Macaca mulatta: one gene and its partners. The protein of the gene in region 4 interacts with the protein of the main gene of each other region in a biochemical or structural test. Links are inferred from orthologs where the notes say so. Each region holds a gene or a part of one and is shown on either strand. Other genes may lie near its edges. The genes, in order: TLE3, UBE2M, MAP3K2, XIAP, PTEN and HTRA1.

Region 1 (3,500 bases), on a different chromosome or scaffold from region 4:
GCGGGTGGATCACCTGAGTCAGGAGATCGAGACCAGCCTGGCCAGCCAACATGGTGAAAGCCTGTCTCTACTAAAAATACAAAAATTAGCTGGGTGTGGTGGCAGGCGCTATTCGGGAGGTAGAGGCAGAAGAATCCCTTGAACCCGGGAGGCGGAGGTTGCAGTGAGCCAAGATTGCGCCACTGTACTCCAGCTTGGGCAACAGAGCAAGACTCCATCTCAAAAAATAAAAAGAAAAAGAAGAGTTAGGGTTGGCGGAGAGAGGGGCCCTTTTTCAGGAGATAGTTTTCCTTTTTACCTCCTGGACCTTGGGTGGCCTTCTCTCCACTGGCAGGCCCACTAGGACCACAGGAGAGGAAAGAAGTAGGGCAGGGCCAGCTCTGCCTTGCAGAACAGGGAGGATGCTGGTTCAGAGTGGGGTCTACACACTGTCACCCCCTCCCTGCCACGGGCCTTCCTGGGCCTGTGTCTCCTTTGAATCAATGGGCTCTGCTCTGCTCAGCTTGTCTCTTGGGTTATAAAGTGGCAGAGCCATGCAGGTAGGACCCCGGGTGGGTGGTGGAGGAGGCAGGGGTGGGGGTGTGTGGCAACACGGCTGATGGAGGGCTGTCTTGCCTTGCTTTACAGGTTGGTTTTGACCCTCACCCCCCCATGCGGGCCACAGGCCTCCCCTCAAGCCTGGCCTCCATTCCTGGAGGAAAACCGTAAGCTTTGGCTATACTTACTGCATGCTTTGTAGGGTGGGGAGGAGAGAGCACTCTACCCCTCCTTCCAACAACACACGTCATCCCCTGACGAAGAATTTGCCCTGGTGCATGTCCCTTTGGAAAGGTATCTGTCCCTCTGGAGGCACCGAGGCCTAGTTGCAACCCCAGAAAACTATAGCCAAGCCATGCTTCTCAGCACCCACAGAAGCTCCCTCCAACAGAGGAGCCATGGGGTTAGCTAAGTACATGGCCACCGGGCTGGGAGACAAGGAACACTCCTCACCGAGTCACCTGGAGCTGTGGTGGGCCTTGCCGACTCCTTTGGGCTCTACCTGCTGGGAAGGCCCCAGTGCCGCTGGTCGCAGGCCCTTCCCTGTCAGCAGTGCTTTCCTCCCCTGGAGGGCACACTCTCCCCGGCCCTTCACTTCCTCGGGTTGCTAGGAAACTAAAAGATTGAGCCTATAGATAATGCGGAGACACTGCCTGACACAGTCCTCTAATTGTCCACGAGAATCTAGATGCTGATTGAGAGGGCGCCCACCAGAGCCGGAAACAGCAGGCAGGCCAGGCTGGCTCCCACCGACTCTGACACGGACTTTCCCATTTGCTATTGAGGGGCAAGCAGATCCCTTCCCTAATACCGCCGGCTCCTAAAGCAAGAGGTGGCATTTCAGCCATGCCCTTTCCAGGGCTGGCTTGTTGGGGGAATGAATGGATTGTGGGAAAGGGCATTCCAGGACATCTGTGGGTTTCTGGTCTGATTTGGAGCAAGGATATATAACCGAGTGTAAAAATCAAAGCTGGTCTGTTAAGCACTCTCCACCCTGGTGGAGCCCTCCCAGTACATGGGGTTACTGGGTTCGAAAGGTTTCAGAGCAGAGGGGCCTGGAGGCAGGGCAGCCAGTCGGGGGCGGTGCAGGTGACCTGGGCCAGGCCTGTGGGAACTCTGAGGGGCCGGGGTGGATGGCAGCAGTGACGGTTCTCACCTTTTCAGAGCGTACTCATTCCATGTGAGCGCTGATGGGCAGATGCAGCCCGTGCCCTTCCCCCACGACGCCCTGGCAGGCCCCGGCATCCCGAGGCACGCCCGGCAGATTAACACACTCAGCCACGGGGAGGTGGTGTGTGCCGTGACCATCAGCAACCCCACGAGGCACGTCTACACAGGTGGCAAGGGCTGCGTGAAGATCTGGGACATCAGCCAGCCAGGCAGCAAGAGCCCCATCTCCCAGCTGGACTGCCTGGTGAGAATCCCAGGGCCACCGCGCCTCCTCCAGCTGGTGTAGGAGGATGGGGTAGCCTGGGCCACGGGGGAGAGCCCCAGGGCCCGGCTTAGCATCGTATTGGCTGAGCAACTTTAGGCAAGCTGACTAACCTCTCTGAGCCCCAGTTGTGCCTTCTGTGTGTGGGGCTGATACTGACCTCCTGGTATTCATGAAAGATCAAAGGCTTGTGAATTTGAGGAATGGGGACAGCCAGGCAGCTGCTGGGTATAGGGGAGGCTGTAAGCAGGGCTGGTGAGGGTGCTCAGTATTGCTGGACAAGACTCTCCTGGTGCCCACGAGGGGAAGTAGGCAGCACTCAGCCCTGCCCCTTCTCCCTCCAGAACAGGGACAATTACATCCGCTCCTGCAAGCTGCTTCCTGACGGGCGCACGCTCATCGTGGGCGGCGAGGCCAGCACGCTCACCATCTGGGACCTGGCCTCGCCCACGCCCCGCATCAAGGCCGAGCTGACGTCCTCGGCTCCCGCCTGTTATGCCCTGGCCATCAGCCCTGATGCCAAAGTCTGCTTCTCCTGCTGCAGCGACGGGAACATAGCTGTCTGGGACCTGCACAACCAGACCCTGGTCAGGTGAGCCGTCAGGAGGGAGCATTAGTGCCTCGTCCTGGGGACGTTTTTACCCACCCTGCCTGGTCTTGTTTGCTGTGACCTTGGCCTTGTCTGAGGTGCCGTGGGGTGGCCATAATCGTTGGGATGAGGGATGCACAGGTGAAAAGACAGCTCTGCCTGCCTTATTCGAGGGACAGAGGAGGGAGGGCCATTGGGCCCAGGAGCTTGGAGAGGGCTCTGGGAAGAAAGTGGAGCTAGAGCATGTCTGGGAAAGTGGAGGTCAGATTAGTGGAGCAAGCAGAGAGGCTGGGAGAGAGGCCCAGAGACCAGACTGGGGAGACCTGACTGGGAAGCCACATCATGTGGTGTCTAGACAAGCCTTAGGACAAAACTGCTGGGTTTGAATCCTGCCTCCACTATGACCTAGTGCAAGTTGCTGAACCCCTGCGGCTCAGTTTCTTCCTGTGTAAAACAGTGACAATGGAGCATCTGCCTCTGACAGTGCTACAGTGCAAAAGCAGACGGGGTGCCTGGCCCAGCTGACTCTTATACATGGGCTGTGTGTGTTATTCAACGTGTTCATGGATGGCCTCAGCCCCATAGTTCATGCAGGGTGAAGAGATAGATTAAGAGGGTAAATTGAGGGCGCATGGAGTGCGGGCTAAGGAGCTGTGTCTTAAAGGCAGTGAGGCCCTGCATTCTCTTTATCAGTCATCTCACACATGGCTTCCCTAGGGCCTTCCTGAGCCTCCAGCTCCACCTTCTCCAGAGGCCCACCCTGGAGGGATTCAGTCTCAGAAGCCTGGTGTGAGGTCCCCTTTTCACCCCCCATTTCCCACGGGACTTGTCCCGGGGCAAACCCTTCTGTGGAACTGGAAAGAGGCCAGAGCTAGCTTTGCTGCAAGCTCACTAAGGGACCATGTGCATAGTGCGCTCTTCTGGGCCTCAGTTTCCTCTTCT
Region 2 (4,278 bases), on a different chromosome or scaffold from region 4:
CAGGTAGGGGGGTCAACAGGCCAGAGGGACAGAAGGCCAGTCTCCCCAGACCCAACCACCTATTCCTACTCACCAAGAAGAGATACTGCAGGCCATAAATTATGGAGTTTATCGTAAGGACTGGCTTCCAGTCCTCTCTGTGGACAGAGAGCATCAGGGTCAGAGCTTGGTGAGTGGGAGACTGCCAGAGGCCCCTCTGGTATTGGGCAGGTCAGATCCAGGGCATAGGAGAGTGAGCATGTGAGAGGCTGGGAGGGAGGGTGTGCAGCAGGCTAGGCCAGGGAGAAAACCAAGGTCAGGCCATGAGGAAGATGACTGGGAAATGAAGAAATCACAAACAACAAAGGGGTGGGAAGGGACAGAGTCTGATGTAGTGCCCACAAGACCATGAGGGGGACCTGGCAGGCAGGGCTGGGGAGGGCAGTAGAGGGCCCGTGCCTTCACCTGAGGATGTTGAGGCAGACGTTGCCCTCGAGGTCAATGTTGGGGTGATAGACCATTGTCTCACACTTCACCTTGGGGGGATCATGTGGGTACCCCTGGCCCACCTGGCTCCAGGAAAAGAAAGGAGAGATGGGTAGGTCCCTGGAAGGGCCTCAGCTGCTGCCTCCTCAGTCCAGGGAGCCATCCCTGCCTGCCTGGGACTCACCTTAAAACTGAACACAAACTTCCCACTCTTGTAGAAGCCCTGGGAGGGAAAGGGGGAGAAGAAAATTTTAGGGTTCCATCCTGTGGGGCCTGATGGGCAGAATATGTCTCCCTCCTCTCAGTGGGGACACCCTTGGTCTGCTCCTGGGAATTCAGCCATATGCACCCTCACCTCATCAGGACAGATGACCAGCTTGAAGTTGAGGAGGTCGTCTGGATCTGAGAAGCTGATATCACACGTCTTGGGCAGGTTCAGCTCGTTTATGTCTGGGTTTGGGCAGCAGAGAGTGGGGGTCAGAAAGAGGGAGGGGAAGAGAGAGAGAGAGGGAGCCAGCAGGACACTTAGGGCAGGTGTTTGTTAGCAGAACCCCCATGGTCTCCTCCTAGACCCCTAGGCCTCTGTCCTGGGCTGTGCTCCACACCTCCAGCCCTCTCCCTGTTCCCTAGCTTGGCTCTTGTGGATACACATCATACCCCAAACATGCATGTTTAGTTGTGTATGCGTGTCTCAACTCCTGGCCCAGGGTAACCCCCAACTGTTCTGTATCCACAGCTCCCAAATGCCCCCACTCCCAAACATCCTCTGACTGCCCTAAACTCCAGGCTCCCCATCCATGACCTCCACTCTCCAGTATCTACCTGTTCACCCAAACTCAAAGATCCTGCCCACCCCCACCAACCCTCAGTCCTCACTGTCCTTCCTCTTCTCTGTCTCTCAGACCCAGCTTCCCATCTGACCCCCACAATCTCAAGTCCCCAACCCCCACCACCCTGCCCCACCTCCTTTGACTCTGAGGTTCACAGCACAATAGCCTAAATTCCCCCTCACCCCTGTCTCCAATCCCTGGTACTCACTAACCTTCCTTCCTCCACCTGTTACCCCAAAGCCCAAATCCAAATTGCTGTGACTCTCAGGTAGGCCCACGAGTCCCTAATCCTCCAACTTACTTTACCCGTTTGACTCTGAGATTCCCAGAGACCCCAGCATAATACACTAAATCCTCTCCCACTCATATCCCCAACCTTTAGCCTCTACTATCCGTCTCTTTTTCGCCTGTCACCCCAAACCCAAGTTCCCGTCTAACCCCCATACTCTCCAGTCCCCAGCTCCTCCACTCCACTGCCTGACTCTGAGATTCCGAGTCCCTAGTACCAGACGCCAGGCCTTCCTAATATCCTAAACCACCACATACCGGGCCCCATCTCTGACCCCCACCCCGTGACTGCATGATCCCAACCCTCAAGACCTGAACTCCGACCCCCCCCCCCCGACTCGGGGCCCTCCACCTCTGACCCTCGGCAACAGCATTACCCCCTCCTGACTCTCAACATCACCCTGCCTCAGGCTCTGACCTCCGACCTCCAGCTCCAACCCCATCCCCTGACCCCCTACCCTTCTGGATCCGCAGCTGCGCCGCCGACGCCTTCTTGCTGCTGCCCTTGGTGCCGCCCGCCGACTCCTCCTCCTTCTTCTGCTGCTTCAGCGAGAACAGCTTGATCATCCTGCCGCCGCCGCCGCCGCTGCCGCCGCCGCGGGGCCCGGGACCCCGGCCACCCGGCCCCCCGCCGCCGCCCGCGTCGCCTCCGCTCCTCGGACCCGCCGCTGCGGCCTCCTGCGCTGCTGCCGCCACCCGCCCGGCCTGCCGCGCCGCTCCGCGCCCACCGCGCGGCCCGCCTCGGCTCCCGTAGTCCGGCCCCGGCCTGGCCCAGAGCCTCGGGCTCGCTCGGCAGCTCTCGGCCAAATTCGGCTGTTTTCGGGCCCGCCCGGCCCCGCCCCCACTGCCCCGGGCCGCTCCTTCCTTGCCCTCGCCCACTCTGGTCTCAGGCCCCGCTGCAGCTGCGGACTCGGGGCTCCCCGGACTGTGCCGTTTGCCGCTCAGCTGATCCCTCCGCGAAGGGGCTGCGGCTAGGGGTGGAAGGAGGACGCGGCAGCCGCGGTGACGGCGGGTGGGTATTGGAGGATCGTCTTCCGCGGCAGCAGCGGCTTTAGCGCGGAGGTCTGCAACGGCCTCGGGCGCCCCGCGGCTTCGGATATTTCCGCCGCCTGCCCGCTTTGGCTCTTCCCGCCCGGCCTGCGTTGTGCGCCTGCGCAGCCGCCGCAAACCCGCGTTGCTCAGCGATGGAGTTTGGGGTTCGGCCTCCTTCGGCTGGACTCGGTTATTTCCGTTCGTGGAGATGACGCTTCGGCGGCCCTGCGGGTCACTTCCGGCGACTCTCGCGGGGCCGGGCAGGAAGCGGGGTTAGCCGCCATCTTTTAGTGGGGCAGACACGGGCCGCTTTGCTCGCGGTCACTTCATCCTGTGTTGTGTATGTGCAGAGCGCGGCGGGGGTGGTCGTCTCCGCTGCTGCCGCCACCCACACGGCCTGCCTTTGACCCCATAGGTCACAGACAAGGCAGGGTGATCGCGGCAAGACCCCGAGTGAGACTAGAGGCGTTACCCAGAGGGTGCGAGGTCGAGCACCCTCACTGTCCTATCGCAAACCCAAAGATCCCCGTTCCTGGAGATTCTGATTGAGGTAAACTAACAAAACATGTATTGTGCCAGAGAGTGGTAAGCACTATGGAGGGTTACAGTGGTGCAGGGGAAGACCTGTCGGGGTGGACACTTGGGGAACGTGACGTGCGGGCGGAGCGTGGGCGCTATTGGCATGGGCCGCGAGTGCCAGCGGAGACGCACTGGAGTCTCTGCGCTTCCCCTGCTAGCTGGAAAAGGGGATGGAGGCGGGGTCAACTTCTCATCCAATCACAGCTCAGCGTGCCTCGGAGGGCGGGAGGAAACAGAACTCTGCGGGTCTGCGACTTCCGGCCGTCACCACGGAAACTACCGGCCCCGTGAGCGCGTGGTGTGGTGGCCTTTCCCTGCGGAGGGCCCCAGGCGCCACTCCTCTGATTCTGCAGATCCTCCCCCAGGAGTGGCCTCTGGCCAAGGCTGGCTTGTCTGCTTCCCCCGAGGCCAGGCCCCTAGTCTTGGGGGTTAGGGTGACTTGAAGCAGCAGGGGGAAGTCCGGCTGCACCCCGAAAGAAGCTTGGACACACAAACTTCAAGTCTCTGTTACTGGAAATGCCCAGGCCAAGACTAGCCTGACACGTGCCCAGAGCGAGACCTTCAGTGGGGTTTAAGGCTCAAGCTGTACCCTGCTGCACACAGACCACTTCTTTGAAACTGCCTTTCACCCTGTGTTACCTGCACCCAAGTCATCCATTGGAGGGGTGGGGGAGAGGGGCTGTGTGAAGGACCTGGACAATGCGATGGAAGGGGAAGATGGCTAGGGCAAAATAGTCAATGGCACTGGGTCCTGGAGATGCTGCCCTGAAGCCTGCAGTATGCTGAACTTGCGCTCTCAGCGTCTGTCCACTTTCACCTAAGCTGCGTTTCCACTGGTTTGCTGCTGGATCTACTCCTGACTGAATCCTTCCAGTGTGCCCGGGGCCAGGGTGGGAGAAGTCTTCAGCTCTAGTGATGGGAATGATCACCACAGGGCAGGGAAACTGGCCCAGGGCCTGCAGTCTTTGCTTCTCAGACTGGTTGGGGATCCATCTGCAGGGTCCTACACCCTCATCACCTGCTGCTTGTAAACATGAGAACAGGAAAGTCCCGAAAAATCTGAATTTCCAGGTAAAATCCTCCA
Region 3 (4,238 bases), on a different chromosome or scaffold from region 4:
AAATCTTTCATGAAAGGAAGAGTCCATCGATGCGGCAAACTTCACTAATGTCTTATTTTAAGAAATTGCCTCAGCCATCCCAAACTTCACCAACCAACCCTTATCAACCACCCTTACTCGTCAGCAGCCATCAACATGGAGGCAAGACCCTCCACCAGCAAAAAGATTACAACTCTCTAAAGGCTCAAATGTTCTTTAGCAATTTTTAGCAATAAATAATTTTTAAATTAAGATATATACATTTTTAGACATAATGCCATTGCACACAATAGACTACAATATATTGCAAACATAACTTTATATGCACTGTGAAACTAAAAAATTTATGTGACTCACTTATTTCGCTTTATTGTAGTGGTCTAGAACCAAAGCCACAATCTCTAAGGTATGTCTGTACATGTATTTATAGATAAAGCAAATATGGCAAGATACCAACAAACGTTTTATCTACAGGATCATGATACAAGTGGTTTACTACTACCAGATTTTCTGCATACTCGAAATTGTCTGATAATAAAAAGTGGGAGGTGGGGGGAAACAGCTCCAATTCTATAGGGAAAGAGAAAATCAACCTGAAACCAACGCTGTAAGAAATGCAGAGTATCAAACATGACTTTATTTTAATACAGCACCTATTAGTTTACCCCTTTGGTACCAATAAAGTAAATGAGAAACAAAAGCTCCACCTAAAACATTGCTTAAAAGATTCAATCTCTAATGCAATCCAATTATTTAAGATAAGTCTTTAACAGCTAGTTTCTCAAAACAGGCACATGGATAACCATTCTATAATGATACCAGATACAACATAATTCAATAAGATTCAACATGTTTATATTTTAACCAAACAACAAATCAATCTGTAAACCATCCACGTTAACTTTGTAATTTCACTTTTTCTCCATAGAGATTGCAAGATCACAAATTTTCTTCAACTTGATAATATACTAGGAAAATTACGGCCTAGTATAATTGGGCATCAATAGATTTGTTAAACATTTGCAATTATGCACAAAGCTTCAATTACTCAAGGAAATGTATCGACTTTTTTTCAGTACAGAGCTCTGGCTCCTTATTTTTTCCTCTCACCATAGTTTAAAAAAATACAAAACTCATGCTAAAATGAGAATTTTCAGTTAGCTTATAAACACTGATTAGTAGCACTCCATACAAATGAAAAAAGAATCACACCATCAAACTTTCTACGATATTAAAATTTGACATCAAACTAAAAAACATTGCATAAGACAACTAACAAATCACTAAATTGCCACATAATCCAGCAACAAATTTTGCAACAAGGAAATCTCAAGCAAATAACCCAACTGTGAGTTCCCTTTGGGCATCAAGGTCAAACTACAAAAGTAAATTTGTAACTTTTCAAGATCTATGCTGTTTTACCAAATGTATTTCTTTTTTGTAAGAGAGTAATTTTTTCTGTCCAGTACTAGTACGCAAAAAGTAAAGGTATCTGAAGCCATCCTTTAAATTTTTTTTTTTAAGCCAAGAAAATGGTTTGGCAAAAGACATCGAAGATCTTACTTAAGGAAAACTAAACTGCGTCTATGTGTTTAGAATTTGTCCCATTAAAGAAACTGCCCAGTTAGTCTCATTTTCTCAACGTATTTATTTTTGCAAGAAATACTGTCTTCGAACCAAGCCTTCCTGGATTACTAGCTTCATGACCTTGGACAAATGCCTTAATCTCTCTGGGCCTCAAGTTTTCATCTGTAAAATGGGGCGATATACCCACTTCACTGGGCTGGGAAGATGAAGAGAAATAAGACATAACAACTGCCGGGCGCAGACTAAGGGCACCGTAAGTGCTACCTAAATATTCCGTGAAAAGGGGGAAACAACATTACATCAAAAGATTACCACACTATGACAGTGCAAAGACAAGCACTTTTTCGTTCACTGCATGTACCATTTCTGCTTCATCGCAAGACCAGCTGCAACCTTCCTTCTAAAATCTCTGCAGGGTACGTGTCTGACAGCTAACAGCCCAGCAGCCTATTTCGCGCTGACCTGGGCTTCAGGACGGGATGTAGGGGGCCCAAGGTCCGCCCTCCCTCAGTTAGGCAATCACCCAGCGAAATCTCCGCCCCTGGAGCGGCGCTTAGGCCGCCGCCAGCCCCCTCCCGGCGCCCAGCCCGCGGCCCCCCACACACACGCGCGCGCGCGCGCACACACACACACACACAAACACACACACACACACAAACACACACACACACACAAGCGCACACGCGCACGCACGCACACACGCACGTACCGGCAGCTCCGCAGGGACGTAGAGAGCCGCAGGCCCAAGGAGGGGCCGCCCCCGCCGAGCCCGCCCCTCCGCCCCAGCGCGGCCTGTCACCGCGGCCCCCGGTCGGGGGCGGCCGCGGGGCCCCCGGGGGCCGGAGGGGCGCGCGAGGAGTCGGGCGCGGGCCTCGGGGCCAGGCCCGTCCCTCTTTCACATGAAGCCTGGGCCGGGCGGGGTGGCGGGCGCGTCAATCCTCGCGGCCGGCCGGGTCCTCCTGGCGCTCCTCGGTGCTTCTGGCCGCTGCAACCCCGAGGCCCGCGGGGAGTCGGGCAGGAAAGGGGGAAGCCGCGGGCCCGCGTCGCCAGAGACCGGAGAAGAGGCGGGAGTGGCGACTCCGCGGACAGGGGAGCCGAGCTTCCTGGTCGTAGTCTTCGTCGCCGCCGCGGGCCGTGCAATCCCCGAACGCTGCGCCCACCCGCCGCGGCACCCTCGTCAGGCGCCGCCGCTGAGGGCAGGCAGCCCGGCCGCCACTACACACGGACTCGTGACGTCGGGCGTAGCGCGGCGCACGTCACGGCCGCTCGCTCGTGCGCGCGCACCCCTCCGCCCGCCGGTAGCGGAACCCGTCGCGGGCGCGCGCCCGGCTCTGGGGAGTGGGTCGGCGCCTGCGCAGAGGCCCGCCACGCCCACACACACGCCCGGCCCCCACCGGCCTGACGGCGCGGGGATTCCCAGTCCTGGCTCCGCCCCGGCCTCGGCCCCGCCCCATGGCCTCGGGCAGCCTGCGCTGTTCCGTGTGCGCGGCGCATACGCACCTGGGTTGTCTCGATCCCAGACATCCGAGTAGATCCCGTGAAAGGTCTCCCACGTGGGTTGCGGACGGGGCCCAAGGGTAGCAGAGCTAGCAGAGGCAGTGACGGACTGAGTCTGTGGCAGGTCGTTTGCAAAGAGAAAAGCCATCTGCCTCTTAATTTATGGCTCAAGTTTCAGAATTTTATTCCCAAGGGACTTTAGAAATTACTTCAGGCTTGCCACCTAACCTTAAACCACCCCCTTGGAGACCGGCTAAGTGTTATTTGTGTTTTCTGTTTAGTTTTTTATCACCATCGATACTTGGTTGTAACAATGGTTGTGTACATTGGTTGGCCCAGCAAGTATTACTTCTCCAGCTTAACAGATGTGGAAACTTCAGCCCAGAGACATGAGTTGACACTCCACCCCCAAAGCTAGAGTCTAAAACCCTTTCCTTCGCTCCTCATCGCCCACAGGATAAAATGCAAATTAATCAGACTAGCGGTGAGGCCCTCCGTGGTGTGCCTAACCGGCATCCCGAGGTTTTCACCCTACTTTGATCCAGAAAGCATCTTTCCGCCCCCTCTCTTCTCCCTTCCTTAAATACCCCTTACAACTTCCTGTACCATTCCTCCCTGTTTAGCTTCTACTTGGTTTCTTGGTACATGCTGGATCCACCCCTTTCATGCCTATTCCAGACCATATTTCCACTGCAGCATTTGAGATGAGAGAGATGGGAATGGGACTCACCGACCCAGAGGTAAGGAGCTATCCCAACTTGGGTTGATGGTCAAGGGACCTGGCACTTGTGCGGCAGAGACTGAGGGAGAAACTGTTGTGCAGTGTCAAACTATCTCTGGGTTTCCTCCAGGAATCTTTATTACAGATTCATTAACAGAGGTGTCAAAGGCACAGGAACAAGGATGTGCACCTCAGAAACACAGAGCTCAGTGGAAAATCAGTTTGCTTCTATTTGTTTAAAAAATGGAGGACTTTTATGCATAAATCTAAGACCTTCTTGAATCTAACATTCAAAGATCCGTATGCCACAGAAAGGAGGGTCTCAGAATGCCTGAGGATAGTATTTAAATCTGAAACATCGATATTGTTCGCCACAGTTATAGGGTCACCACAAACCAAGCATTCAATAAAAACGTGTTTGTTTACTAAGTAATCCAGAGATAAATTTTTTCCC
Region 4 (2,455 bases):
CATGGTGAAACCCTGTCTCTACTAAAAATACAAAAATTAGTCGGGTATGGTGGCACTCGCCTGTAATCCCAGCTACTCAGGAAGCTGAGGCAGGAGAATCGCTTGAACCCAGGAGGGGGAGGTTGCAGTGAGCAGAGATCATGCCACTGCACTCCAGCCTGGGTGACAAGCAAGACTCCATCTCAAAAAGAAAATTAAATAAATAAAATAAATTTGCAATGTTTTAAATGAATATCACTTAAAGTAGTAATCAACAGAAGTTAGGAGAACATAACAGTACTCTTTCTCTTAGAAAGTACAACAAAAATATAATTTTTTACAGTTTTACTCTCAAACTTTTCTCTATGTAGTAACATGCCTTACTCACCTCTACAATAGGTTTGTTGTGAGAATCTTATAATGTAAACCCTGGACGTCCTATGAAGCATTTTTAAACTTCTAGTTTATGTCCTATTGATTCTTATTCAAGTGTTTTTCAAAAAATATTTAAACAACTATTCTTTTCTTGCCAATATTTTTATAATTTCCAAGAGGTTTTAAGGATGTTGAGAGAACATTGATTTCAGAAGTATCTACTACTATTACTAGTCAAGAACACAAATGTAGGCAGAGGATTTAACATTTCATCCTATATACATCTTAATCATCCTAACGGTAAAAACTCACATGAAACTTTAAGATACAAGATGATATGAGAATCTCAACATGGAAAGCTGTCACTATAACTACAAGCAGTGTACAAACATACTTCTACTTTTACCTACATAAGCTGACAGATGTTTAAAATACTGAGTTAACAAAGATCTTTTAGTAAAGTGACTTAGGCAGGCTTAAACTAGCAAGGATTAAGGATGAATCCTTACTAATTAATTGGAAGATCTGAGACATATTTTATATTTCATTTTACAAAATCAGAAATACTTATTTTGAAACAAGATAAGAAGACATGGTCTACCTGTCAAAAACCTACCACTCAGAAATATTTTTCATCCACAAAGCAGGAAAAACATAAAACCATTTACATTTCACATTGGCACCAAAAAGGTTAACTGCCCTGCCTTCTTGGATTAGAAAAACTAAAGCTGAGTGATAAGTACTTTTGCAGGCGTTTGAACATGCCTAAGCCTTTAAATCAGTAAAATACTTTCTAAAAATTCTGATTACAAAAGTAATACATACTTATAAAAAATTCAAACAGAACAAAATGAAAAAAATAGAAAGTGAAAGGCCCCTATAAAACCCCTCTGAGGCCCCTTCCCCAACCCCCCCAAAGAGAAACCACATTTAACAGTTTGGTGTCTATCTTTCCAAATCTTTTGTTCTATACATATAAGAAACATACATACTTTGATTGCCTCAGACTATACATAGTGTTTTGCCACTTGCATTTTACACTTAATATATCTTTCACATCTTTCCATGTCAGTACATCTTGGCTTGATAGTATTCTATCATTAAATACCCTTTCAAAAATGGCAAATCACTTTTAAAAAATTATTCGCACAAGTACGTGTTTATAATTTTAAAAGAAAATGGACAGAATCCTAACACACAACAACCAACCTCTAAAAATAATCTCTATCTTTCCACCAGCATGGAACAATTATTCCTTTTTCACACAAAACAAATTATGTGATTGGGGAGATTAATCTCCACATTTATATACAGAAAGCTCCATTTGTTAAGCCTATCTGAAAAGAATAAAAAATCCAGATGATTAATTCACTTACACTTAGAAATTAAGTCAGTATATGATGAATACACATTGTGTTCAGTTATAATATGATGCTTCTTAGTCTAGGGTTTCAATTAGATAACAGTAAAAAAAGTTGGATAAATAATACAGCTAATAGCCTGAAAAATCCAGAAATTCAAAGATTATATTGCCAACTAAAACACTGCCATGTACATTTTTTTTCTACTTGGTAGCAAATGCTAATGGAATTCAATCCTGATTACTTAAAAGTCAGTTCACATCACACATTCAATCAGGGTAATAAGAAGAACATAACATCCCTACTACAGAGTTAGATTAAGACATAAAAATTTTTTGCTTGAAAGTAATGACTGTGTAGCACATGGGACACTTGTCAACTGCTTCAGCACATTGTTTACAAGTGACTAGATGTCCACAAGGAACAAAAACGATAGCAATATTTCTATCCATACAGATTTTGCAAAGCTTCTCCTCTTGCAGGCGCCTTAGCTGCTCTTCAGTACTAATCTCTGCAAAAAGAGAAAAGAATTATGCTAGTTTTAGACTTTCTTAGTTGTTTACATTCATTGAAAATATTTATTGAACCCCTACTACGTGCCAGGCACCCAACAAGTGCCAGGAGATATGAGGATGACTCACACATGGCATCTGCTCTTAAATAGCTCACAGGCTAGTGGGAGAGGATGTAAGATGAGGCTATGGAGGTTAAGCACAAAGTACAAAGTGATAAGTGCTGTA
Region 5 (3,940 bases), on a different chromosome or scaffold from region 4:
TTTCACAGGTTAGCTGCCGAAATAAATACTACAGCATGCCAAAGACAAAGTCCTCAATGACCATTTTAATGCCTTCCCACCCCCATAAACAGAAAAACAAGCAAACCAAGTACGTTGGAATATCAAAATTATTGGGAGTGCAATTATCAAAAAAGCAAGCACTTCATTGACTTTCCTCACTGACTTTTTTTCATACCAACTTTTGGCTCAATAAAACCACAACTCTAGAAATCAAGTGTTATTAGTCATTTGACACAATATTTGATACTGCTTTCTATGCATAACTAAAAGTACAATTTTAGAGAAAGTTTTAAGTCACATAAATTTCATGTGTAGAGACCCACATACTCTGAAATCAAAGGAAATGCCAGTCACATCACAGCTCACATGTAAAAACCTGGTAGAATAATTTTAAGGTCTTAATAACCCTGACAATTTTAAATAAAGTGGGAAAAGTAAAAGTAGTGTGTATGTACTTTAAGTGCTGAAAGAAATCTGTCTCCCAGACAGCATTCAATTATTTTCTTCAGAGGCTTTTTTTTCAAAGTTACATAAACATTTAATTTTTTGTTCCTATATATTTGGATGACTGTCAGTAATTCATGCTAATAGTAGACTGCTTTGGAAGTCACAAAAGAATTTTTTCCATAATTATCTTCTGGGCAAGCGGGTTTAGCCTTAGTAACATTTTTATCTTCCAGTTTAGCCTTAGTAACATTTTCAATTAATGCCAACTTCAAAATTTGCAAATACTGTTTTAAAATAATATTACTGACTTAACAGAAAACTAAATTTTGGGAGGCTACTTCTTCAGTAAGTTTTATATTCATTTCAAAACAAAAACTTGGGCAAAATTAACTGTGCACATGTATATGCAGCTAACATAATCCAAGGGAATAAAACCTCTCCCGATATAAACGTTGTCTTAAAAAAAAATCTTCCCCACAATTTTTAGCAGGACATATAGACACTGCAGTGTCACGCTACCTTTAGACAAAATGCAACTGATACTTGCTAAGAAATAATTTTTATTAAAAATACTCTGCTAGTACTTATGCAATTACATAATTTTAACTAAATATTGTCCACTGCCACAATTCGCATTACCAAACTCATATTACCAAATTTTAGGCCTTGATAGAGCCTAAATGCTTCAGTCACTTCAGACCAATAACTTCTGTTTTCACATACCTTATACACTGGCCTACCAATAGCTCTCAATTCCTGTCAATACTTTCCATTCTGCAAAATGAGGGCCCCATCCCCATCCCTAATCAAAACCAGTCTGTTGTACCTGAAACTGCAAAGATTCATGCTTTTCGATGACCACTAACTTTTGAAGCCCGAAGGCCTAACTTTTAGACAACTAAAGCTATACACTGTTAAAATTCTTGGGCTTCTGTCTTATTCAACAAGCTGACTCAGTAAATTTAATACACTGTATGAAAAAAGCTAACATACCTACAATCTAAAGCTGGAGTAAACTTCTCTTGCCAGCATTTCTGGATATTAGCTGGTAAAATTCACTTGACATTCTACACAAATCACTGAAATTAACAATACCAAAAGATGTCAGAGAACCTGAAATCTAAAAACGGTGAGCAGCAATTCTGGCATCACAATACTTAAATTTCAAGCATGAACTGAAGTTTTATCTTTGCAATCTTCACTTGCCACACACAATACCCTTGAACCTACACATTGTCATCTGGGATCAAAAACTACTCAATATCCATTCCATGTTTATGACAAGAGCACTGAACATTAAACGCTACTGAAGTGCAAATTTCAAGCCCTATCCTACATCATCCCATAGGGAGAGAAAAAGGTAAATATAACAAAGATCTAGTAAGAACGCCTTATAAGGTATATAATGGCATTATTGATTTCAAACTACAAAACTTCTAAATACAGTCCAAAGTTGTAACTTAAGTGTAAAACATTAACAAAACTACTTTTTGCACTCAATGTGCACCATATATACTGAAAATTATTCTGCTTCTAAAGTTATGCAAATCAGTCATATTTTAAAAGAATCTATCAATGCAACCCAGGAAACTAAAACAATCACTGCAAGATTCTGATGCAATATGCATACGTGCAACACTAATTTTCATTTTATTCTGATCTAAACCCTTGATCTAGGGCCTAAGCCAAGATTTAATCGAAATATGCTCAACCTCAAAGCGTCTACTTTTTTGTTCATTTAGGAGACCGGATTACCGAGCTCTCTAATCCACTAACAGCATACTGTATTCTGTATTAACGGACAATAGCCCTCAGGAAGAGACCGTATAGACAGCCTAAGCAAGCAATCGGTGCCTCGACACTTGCAACCAGGCAAGAGTTCCGTCTAGCCGAACACACCCTAGGTTGAATACAAGAAAAGAAACACAAAATATATGACCTAGCAACCCGACCAGGGTTAAATGTTATAGTCGCCCAAACTAGGGACATTTTCGCATCCGTCTACTCCCACGTTCTAAGAGAGTGACAGAAAGGCAAAGAGGAGCAGCCGCAGAAATGGATACAGGTCAAGTCTAAGTCGAATCCATCCTCTTGATATCTCCTTTTGTTTCTGCTAACGATCTCTTTGATGATGGCTGTCATGTCTGGGAGCCTGTGGCTGAAGAAAAAGGAGGAGAGAGATGGCAGAAGCTGCTGGTGGCGGGGCTTCTTCTGCAGGATGGAAATGGCTCTGGACTTGGCGGTAGCTGATGCCCCTCGCTCTGCCGCCGCTTGGCTCTGGACCGCAGCCGGGTAATGGCTGCTGCGGCGGCTGCTGGATGGTTGCAGCGACTGGGCCTGCTTCTCCTCAGCAGCCAGAGGCCTGGCAGCAGCGGCAGCGGAATGGGGAGAAGACGAATAATCCTCGGAACGGCTGCCTCCTCCGGCGGCCTCCGGAGCCCGGGCCACGGGGGGTGCGGCGGCGGCGGAGGGGAGGTTTAAAACCGGCCCGGGTCCCTGGATGTGCCGCCGCCGCCGCCGCCGTGTTGGAGGCAGTAGAAGGGGAGAGACCAACTCTCCGGCGTTCCCAGCCCTGGAAATGGTGACAGGCGACTCAGACTCCCTCCCTGGAGCTGCAGCCGCCGCGGCCGCCGCGGCCGCCGCTTCTCCCCCCCGCTCCAGGAGCGGGAGGTGCCGCCGCCGCCGCCGCGCCTCAGCCGGCTCCCGCCCGAGCCCACGGCTTCCACCTTCCCCTTCAAGAGAAGCTGAGGAAGCGGCTGCACGGTTAGAAAAGACGAAGAGGAGGCGAGAAACGCCGCCGCTGCCGCCGCCGCAGGCCGGCCGGCTCCCCGAGGGCGCTGCCCCCGCGGCTGCTCACAGGCGCTGAGAGGGGCTCCGGGCCGCGGCCGCCGCCGTCTCTCATCTCCCTCGCCTGAGCCCGGCCTCGCCTCACAGCGGCTCAACTCTCAAACTTCCATCATGGCTGCAGCTTCCGAGAGGAGAGAACTGAGCGCAGCCGCGTCCCGGCGCCCGAGCGCGTATCCTGCCGCAGTGCATAAAGAGTCCCGCCACATCACCGCCCGCCGGCCTGCCCGCCCCCTCCGCCGCCGCGCCGGGAGCCCGGGCTCCTCGGGAGACCGAGGGGAGGCGGGAGCCGAACGAGAGGCGGACTGGACCGTGCCGGGCGAGGGGAGGGCAGGGCAGGGGGCGGTAGGCGGGGGCAGGAGCGGTAGCTCCGGGTGCGAGCGCAAAGCCCCCAAGCCGTAGGCTCTACTGAGCATGCCCAGTGTGGCTGCCTAGAGCTCGCTCGGGCCGGTTCCGAGCCGCCAGCCTGCAACTGCACTTGCCGCGGCTGCTTTTGCAGCAGCGCGAGGCGAGGATAACGAGCTAAGCCTCGGCCTCTGCCCAGAAACCCAGCCGGAGGCAGGGTAGGCTGTTGCGGGGCGGGGGTGGAGGACTGATGATGAAAGCTGAGATGGGTGCGTTGAGCAGT
Region 6 (4,017 bases), on a different chromosome or scaffold from region 4:
TAACGTGTGCACGAGGGAACAACCCAAATACAGAAGAATATTAAAATCTCCAAGCCCCCAGCCCCCTCCCTTGCTACTGTATCCCAAAGTCAGCTCTGCCGGCCCACCCAACCGTGGGTGCCTCTGCCCAGGGTAGGGTTGGAGGTTTGAGGGTTTCGGATGAGGGCTGGGCGAACCGCCTCCTCTCAGGTCCTTGGACGCGAGCTGTACCCATCTGCTCAGTGTGGACCCAGGACTACTGCCCACAGGCCTGGTGCTGCCTGGGCACCCAGACCCACCTCCAGGGTCGCCCTCGGCCCTCCTGATGACTCTCAGACTCGCATCTGTCCCAAAGGCTGCACCAAAGATTCTCCAGTGGAAAATCAAATTTTTGATAACAAAAGTGTTTTGAAATAATCACGCACGTGGTGAAAAATTCAAACAGGAGCAAACCCCTTTCCCATCTGAGACCGCTGCACCCTCTCCAGTTACGAGCCTCCCAGCTGCTTCCTGAGCTCTCTGCGAGTACGGACACGCGTGCCACCCACAACAACTGTTTAAAAGAATCAGACGTGTGAAGGATTCTGTTCAAATTACTTCTGCTCTCTGCTTTTATCACTTCACTGTGGGTCCGGGCGCGGGCTTTCTGGCAGCTCCGCGGACGCTGCCTTCGTCCGGCCGCACAGGCCCCGCGGTCAGGGTCCCGCATGCGGGGTACCGGGGGCAGAACCAGCGCGTGACCGGGGTCCGCGGTGCCGCCAACGCCCCGGGTCTGCGCAGAGGCCCCTGCAGTCCCTGCCTGGCCCAGTCCGAGCCTCCCGGGCAGGCCCCCAGTCGGGCGATTTGCAGGAACTTTCCCGAGCGCTCCCGCGGGGAGACGCCGCAGGGCCCCCTTGCAAAGTTCCTTTAGTTTGAAGGACGCGAATCGCAGCGAGAGAACCTGCGGAAGGCGAATATGTGGGGCGCGCAGACGGGGAAACTGAGTCCCGCGAGAGGGCGGGTCTGTGCACTGCCCCGCCCGCGCCCCACGAGCTCCGCCGTGCCCGGGCGCGCCCGCCCTGCCCCCGCCGCGGGCGGTCCCGGTCCAGTCGTCCGCCCTCCCGCCATCCGGTCGGCCCCCCTCCCGGGCGCCGTGCCCGTCCCCAAGGCGGCTCGTCACCGCTGCGAGGCCAATGGGCTGGGCCGCGCGGCCGCGCGCACTCGCACCCGCTGCCCCCGAGGCCCTCCCGCACTTTCCCCGGCGCCGCTCTCCGGCCCTCGCCCTGTCAGCCGCCACGGCCGCCGCCGCCGCCAGAGTCGCCATGCAGATCCCGCGCGCCGCGCTGCTCCCACTGCTGCTACTGCTGCTGCTGGCGGCGCCCGCCTCGGCGCAGCTGTCCCGGGCCGGCCGCTCGGCGCCTTTGGCCACCGGGTGCCCCGAGCGCTGCGAGCCGGCGCGCTGCCCGCCGCAGCCGGAGCACTGCGAGGGCGGCCGGGCCCGGGACGCGTGCGGCTGCTGCGAGGTGTGCGGCGCGCCGGAGGGCGCCGCGTGCGGCCTGCAGGAGGGCCCGTGCGGCGAGGGGCTGCAGTGCGTGGTGCCCTTCGGGGTGCCAGCCTCGGCCACGGTGCGGCGACGCGCGCAGGCTGGCCTCTGTGTGTGCGCCAGCAACGAACCGGTGTGCGGCAGCGACGCCAACACCTACGCCAACCTGTGCCAGCTGCGCGCCGCCAGCCGCCGCTCCGAGAGGCTGCACCGGCCGCCGGTCATCGTCTTGCAGCGCGGCGCCTGTGGCCAAGGTACTCTGCCGCGCTCCTGGGCAGCACCCCATTCTCTCCATCCCAGCTCGGACCTGCTTCTGCGGGACTGGTGGGCAGACCGAGGGGCAGTGAAGCGTTGCGGGGTGGCCAGGGCAACTCTCGGGGACAGGCAGGTGGGCCCCGGGGTGGCGGCTTTCCGCGGGCTGCCTCGGAAACGAGCTTCGCGCCCAGCCCGGGGCCGGTTCTGCGCCCAGACGATGCCGGTGCGCCGGGCCTGCACTCTGGGGCTCGAGACGCCTGGCGACCTGCCGCGGAGCGCCCTGAGGGCAGCCACACAGCGCGGGGAGCCGAGGACAAATAAGAGGAGTGGGGGCATAAAGGGAGGAGAGAAGTTCAGGACTAGGAACTGGAGCCTTGCAGAGTGGCTTCAGGACCACAAGAAGTCATTTCTGTTGCTTTTTCTATTTGCTTCCTCCGTCCCCTTTAAAATGCATTACTTTGATCACGGGACCGCTCCGTGAAAACTGTATGTAACTCTTTTGGAAAGGAAGAGTGTTTGCCGGCCCCCGCCGGAGTTTCCCCAAAAAGTCTACCCCGGGCAGGGAACGGTTTGGCATCGCACTCGTTTCGGCGGCGTTGCTGCCTGTGTTGCTTTCCTCGTTTTGAGCCAGCCCTACAAAAATGAAAGTGGCTCCTTTTGAATAAGCTGAATCGGGCTTTGGATCACGAAATCTGCAGAGGCGTAGAAGGGACCGGGTTAGTAATGAGGAAGGAGCCTGCCCCTCCCTCCTGCCGCATACAGGACCTGTTCGGCAGGGGAGATGGTGGTGATGGGGGCAGGAGTGGAGTGGAGCAATGTCTAACTCTCTCGCGGGACCTTCCGGAGAGATGCTTCCCATCTTCAGGCAGAGGCCATGTGGAAGAATAGTATCGAGTTCAGCGGCGGCCAGTCCCGCGGTGTAGAACCAGACAGCGGGGCTTGGCAGTGCGCTTAGGCGCAGCCATGCGGCTGCTGCCCGACCCCAGCGCTGCCTCCTCAACTCGGGCAGTGCCAGGAGAGGGGCATAGGAGAGCACAGTGCAGAGGGACTGGTCTAGATTTTACTTTATAGGAATATGGTTCAGTATGACCAACTAGGACTTGGCATAGTTTGGCTTACATGGACCGGAAGGTGCCAGAGCCGAATTGGGTGAAATTCGAGATTGTGTATTTCACTAACGCAGGAGCACAGCCCTCGGGAAACTCAGCCTAGTTAGGCAGTAGAGAGTTGTCCCGGAGACAAGTGATCCCGCAGACTAGAGAATGGGCATGATGATAGCACACGCCTATTGAGCACTCAGTCTGTGTGCCGGGTGTGTTACCTCTGTGACCTCATTTGGTCTCATGAGGAGGGAGTTTCTCCTCTCTCTCTCTCTCTTTTTTTCTTCTTAAGAGACAGGGTCTCCCTCTGTCGCCCAGGCTGGAGTATAGTGGTGTGATCATGGCTCACTGCAGCCTCCCACCCCTGGACTCAATGATTCTCCTGCTTCAGCCTCCCAAGTGGCTGGGGCTACAGGCGGATGCCACCACACCCAGCTTCTCATTCCTGTTTTACAGATAGCGGAACTAAGGTTGAAAAACTTGCCCAAGGTCACTCAGCTGGAGTTTAAACCCAGATAGCCTCATTCAGAGGAGTCAGGCCAGCACTTAACTCCAAGGGTGTGGGAGAGGGGTCAGGTGCTGTAAATTTCCCGGTGGGTTGGACTTGCATCCCCCTCAGAGCCAGGAACAGCATACACAAAGCCTAAGACTTGTTTGGAGGTGAATAGATCAGTGTGGCTGGGGGATGTTTGGGGAGGGCAGCAGGAGTGAGCCAGGCTGGTGGCCCAGAGTCCCAGGGCTGAAGAGGCTGGCTGTGCCCCGGGCCCTGTGTGCAGATGTTCTTGAACTGGGGCAACTCAAAGCCTAGTGTAGTGTAGGGCTGACCTAGCAGTGGTGTGCGGAATGCATCCAGGGTGGAGAGTTTAGACTACTGCAATAATCTGGGTGTGAGGCAACAACATTGAAAAAGCATGTTTTTGTCCAAAACAAGCCAGCTGTTACTGGTCTCGCTGTTTGTGGTCTCATTGCACGGGGTCCTGAGTTGCTGGCACCATGCGAGTCGCCTAATTTATTGCTAGTGAGGCAAGTTGCTTAATAAGCTTTGGAGTTGGCTGAGTCCCTGTGTGGAGGAAAACAGGTCCCCCATTGGCCATCAGGCTCACGGCGGGCCCCGGTGTACCAGTGAGGGGACAGCCACAGAGGGATAAGCATGGTGGCTTT

Evidence for each region.
Region 1: of the proteins of XIAP (region 4) and TLE3, one has a biochemical effect on the other in vitro, tested with the Homo sapiens proteins (2 studies listed by BioGRID). The link is inferred for Macaca mulatta from reciprocal best matches to the Homo sapiens genes XIAP and TLE3.
Region 2: the proteins of XIAP (region 4) and UBE2M form a complex in vitro, tested with the Homo sapiens proteins (2 studies listed by BioGRID). The link is inferred for Macaca mulatta from reciprocal best matches to the Homo sapiens genes XIAP and UBE2M.
Region 3: of the proteins of XIAP (region 4) and MAP3K2, one has a biochemical effect on the other in vitro, tested with the Homo sapiens proteins (2 studies listed by BioGRID, with this or other methods). The link is inferred for Macaca mulatta from reciprocal best matches to the Homo sapiens genes XIAP and MAP3K2.
Region 5: of the proteins of XIAP (region 4) and PTEN, one has a biochemical effect on the other in vitro, tested with the Homo sapiens proteins (2 studies listed by BioGRID). The link is inferred for Macaca mulatta from reciprocal best matches to the Homo sapiens genes XIAP and PTEN.
Region 6: the proteins of XIAP (region 4) and HTRA1 form a complex in vitro, tested with the Homo sapiens proteins (2 studies listed by BioGRID and IntAct, with this or other methods). The link is inferred for Macaca mulatta from reciprocal best matches to the Homo sapiens genes XIAP and HTRA1.

Annotation. Positions count from the first base shown.
Region 1 is NC_133412.1:47,666,383-47,669,882, reverse strand, and holds part of TLE3 (transducin-like enhancer protein 3), read left to right. Parts: intron 1-627; coding exon 628-704; intron 705-1,701; coding exon 1,702-1,951; intron 1,952-2,313; coding exon 2,314-2,561; intron 2,562-3,500. UniProt on the Homo sapiens protein: Transcriptional corepressor that binds to a number of transcription factors. Inhibits the transcriptional activation mediated by CTNNB1 and TCF family members in Wnt signaling.
Region 2 is NC_133424.1:70,695,394-70,699,671, forward strand, and holds the start of UBE2M (NEDD8-conjugating enzyme Ubc12), read right to left. Parts: upstream 2,801-4,278; 5' UTR 2,151-2,800; coding exon 2,042-2,150; intron 916-2,041; coding exon 821-915; intron 689-820; coding exon 650-688; intron 549-649; coding exon 445-548; intron 138-444; coding exon 74-137; intron 1-73.
Region 3 is NC_133417.1:9,899,069-9,903,306, reverse strand, and holds the start of MAP3K2 (mitogen-activated protein kinase kinase kinase 2), read right to left. Parts: upstream 2,801-4,238; 5' UTR 2,276-2,800; intron 1-2,275. UniProt on the Homo sapiens protein: Component of a protein kinase signal transduction cascade. Regulates the JNK and ERK5 pathways by phosphorylating and activating MAP2K5 and MAP2K7. Plays a role in caveolae kiss-and-run dynamics.
Region 4 is NC_133426.1:130,341,685-130,344,139, reverse strand, and holds the end of XIAP (E3 ubiquitin-protein ligase XIAP), read right to left. Parts: intron 2,227-2,455; coding exon 2,033-2,226; 3' UTR 501-2,032; downstream 1-500.
Region 5 is NC_133414.1:99,939,533-99,943,472, reverse strand, and holds the start of PTEN (phosphatidylinositol 3,4,5-trisphosphate 3-phosphatase and dual-specificity protein phosphatase PTEN), read right to left. Parts: upstream 2,801-3,940; 5' UTR 2,611-2,800; coding exon 2,532-2,610; intron 1-2,531. UniProt on the Homo sapiens protein: Dual-specificity protein phosphatase, dephosphorylating tyrosine-, serine- and threonine-phosphorylated proteins.
Region 6 is NC_133414.1:134,543,021-134,547,037, forward strand, and holds the start of HTRA1 (serine protease HTRA1 precursor), read left to right. Parts: upstream 1-1,217; 5' UTR 1,218-1,280; coding exon 1,281-1,755; intron 1,756-4,017. UniProt on the Homo sapiens protein: Serine protease with a variety of targets, including extracellular matrix proteins such as fibronectin. HTRA1-generated fibronectin fragments further induce synovial cells to up-regulate MMP1 and MMP3 production.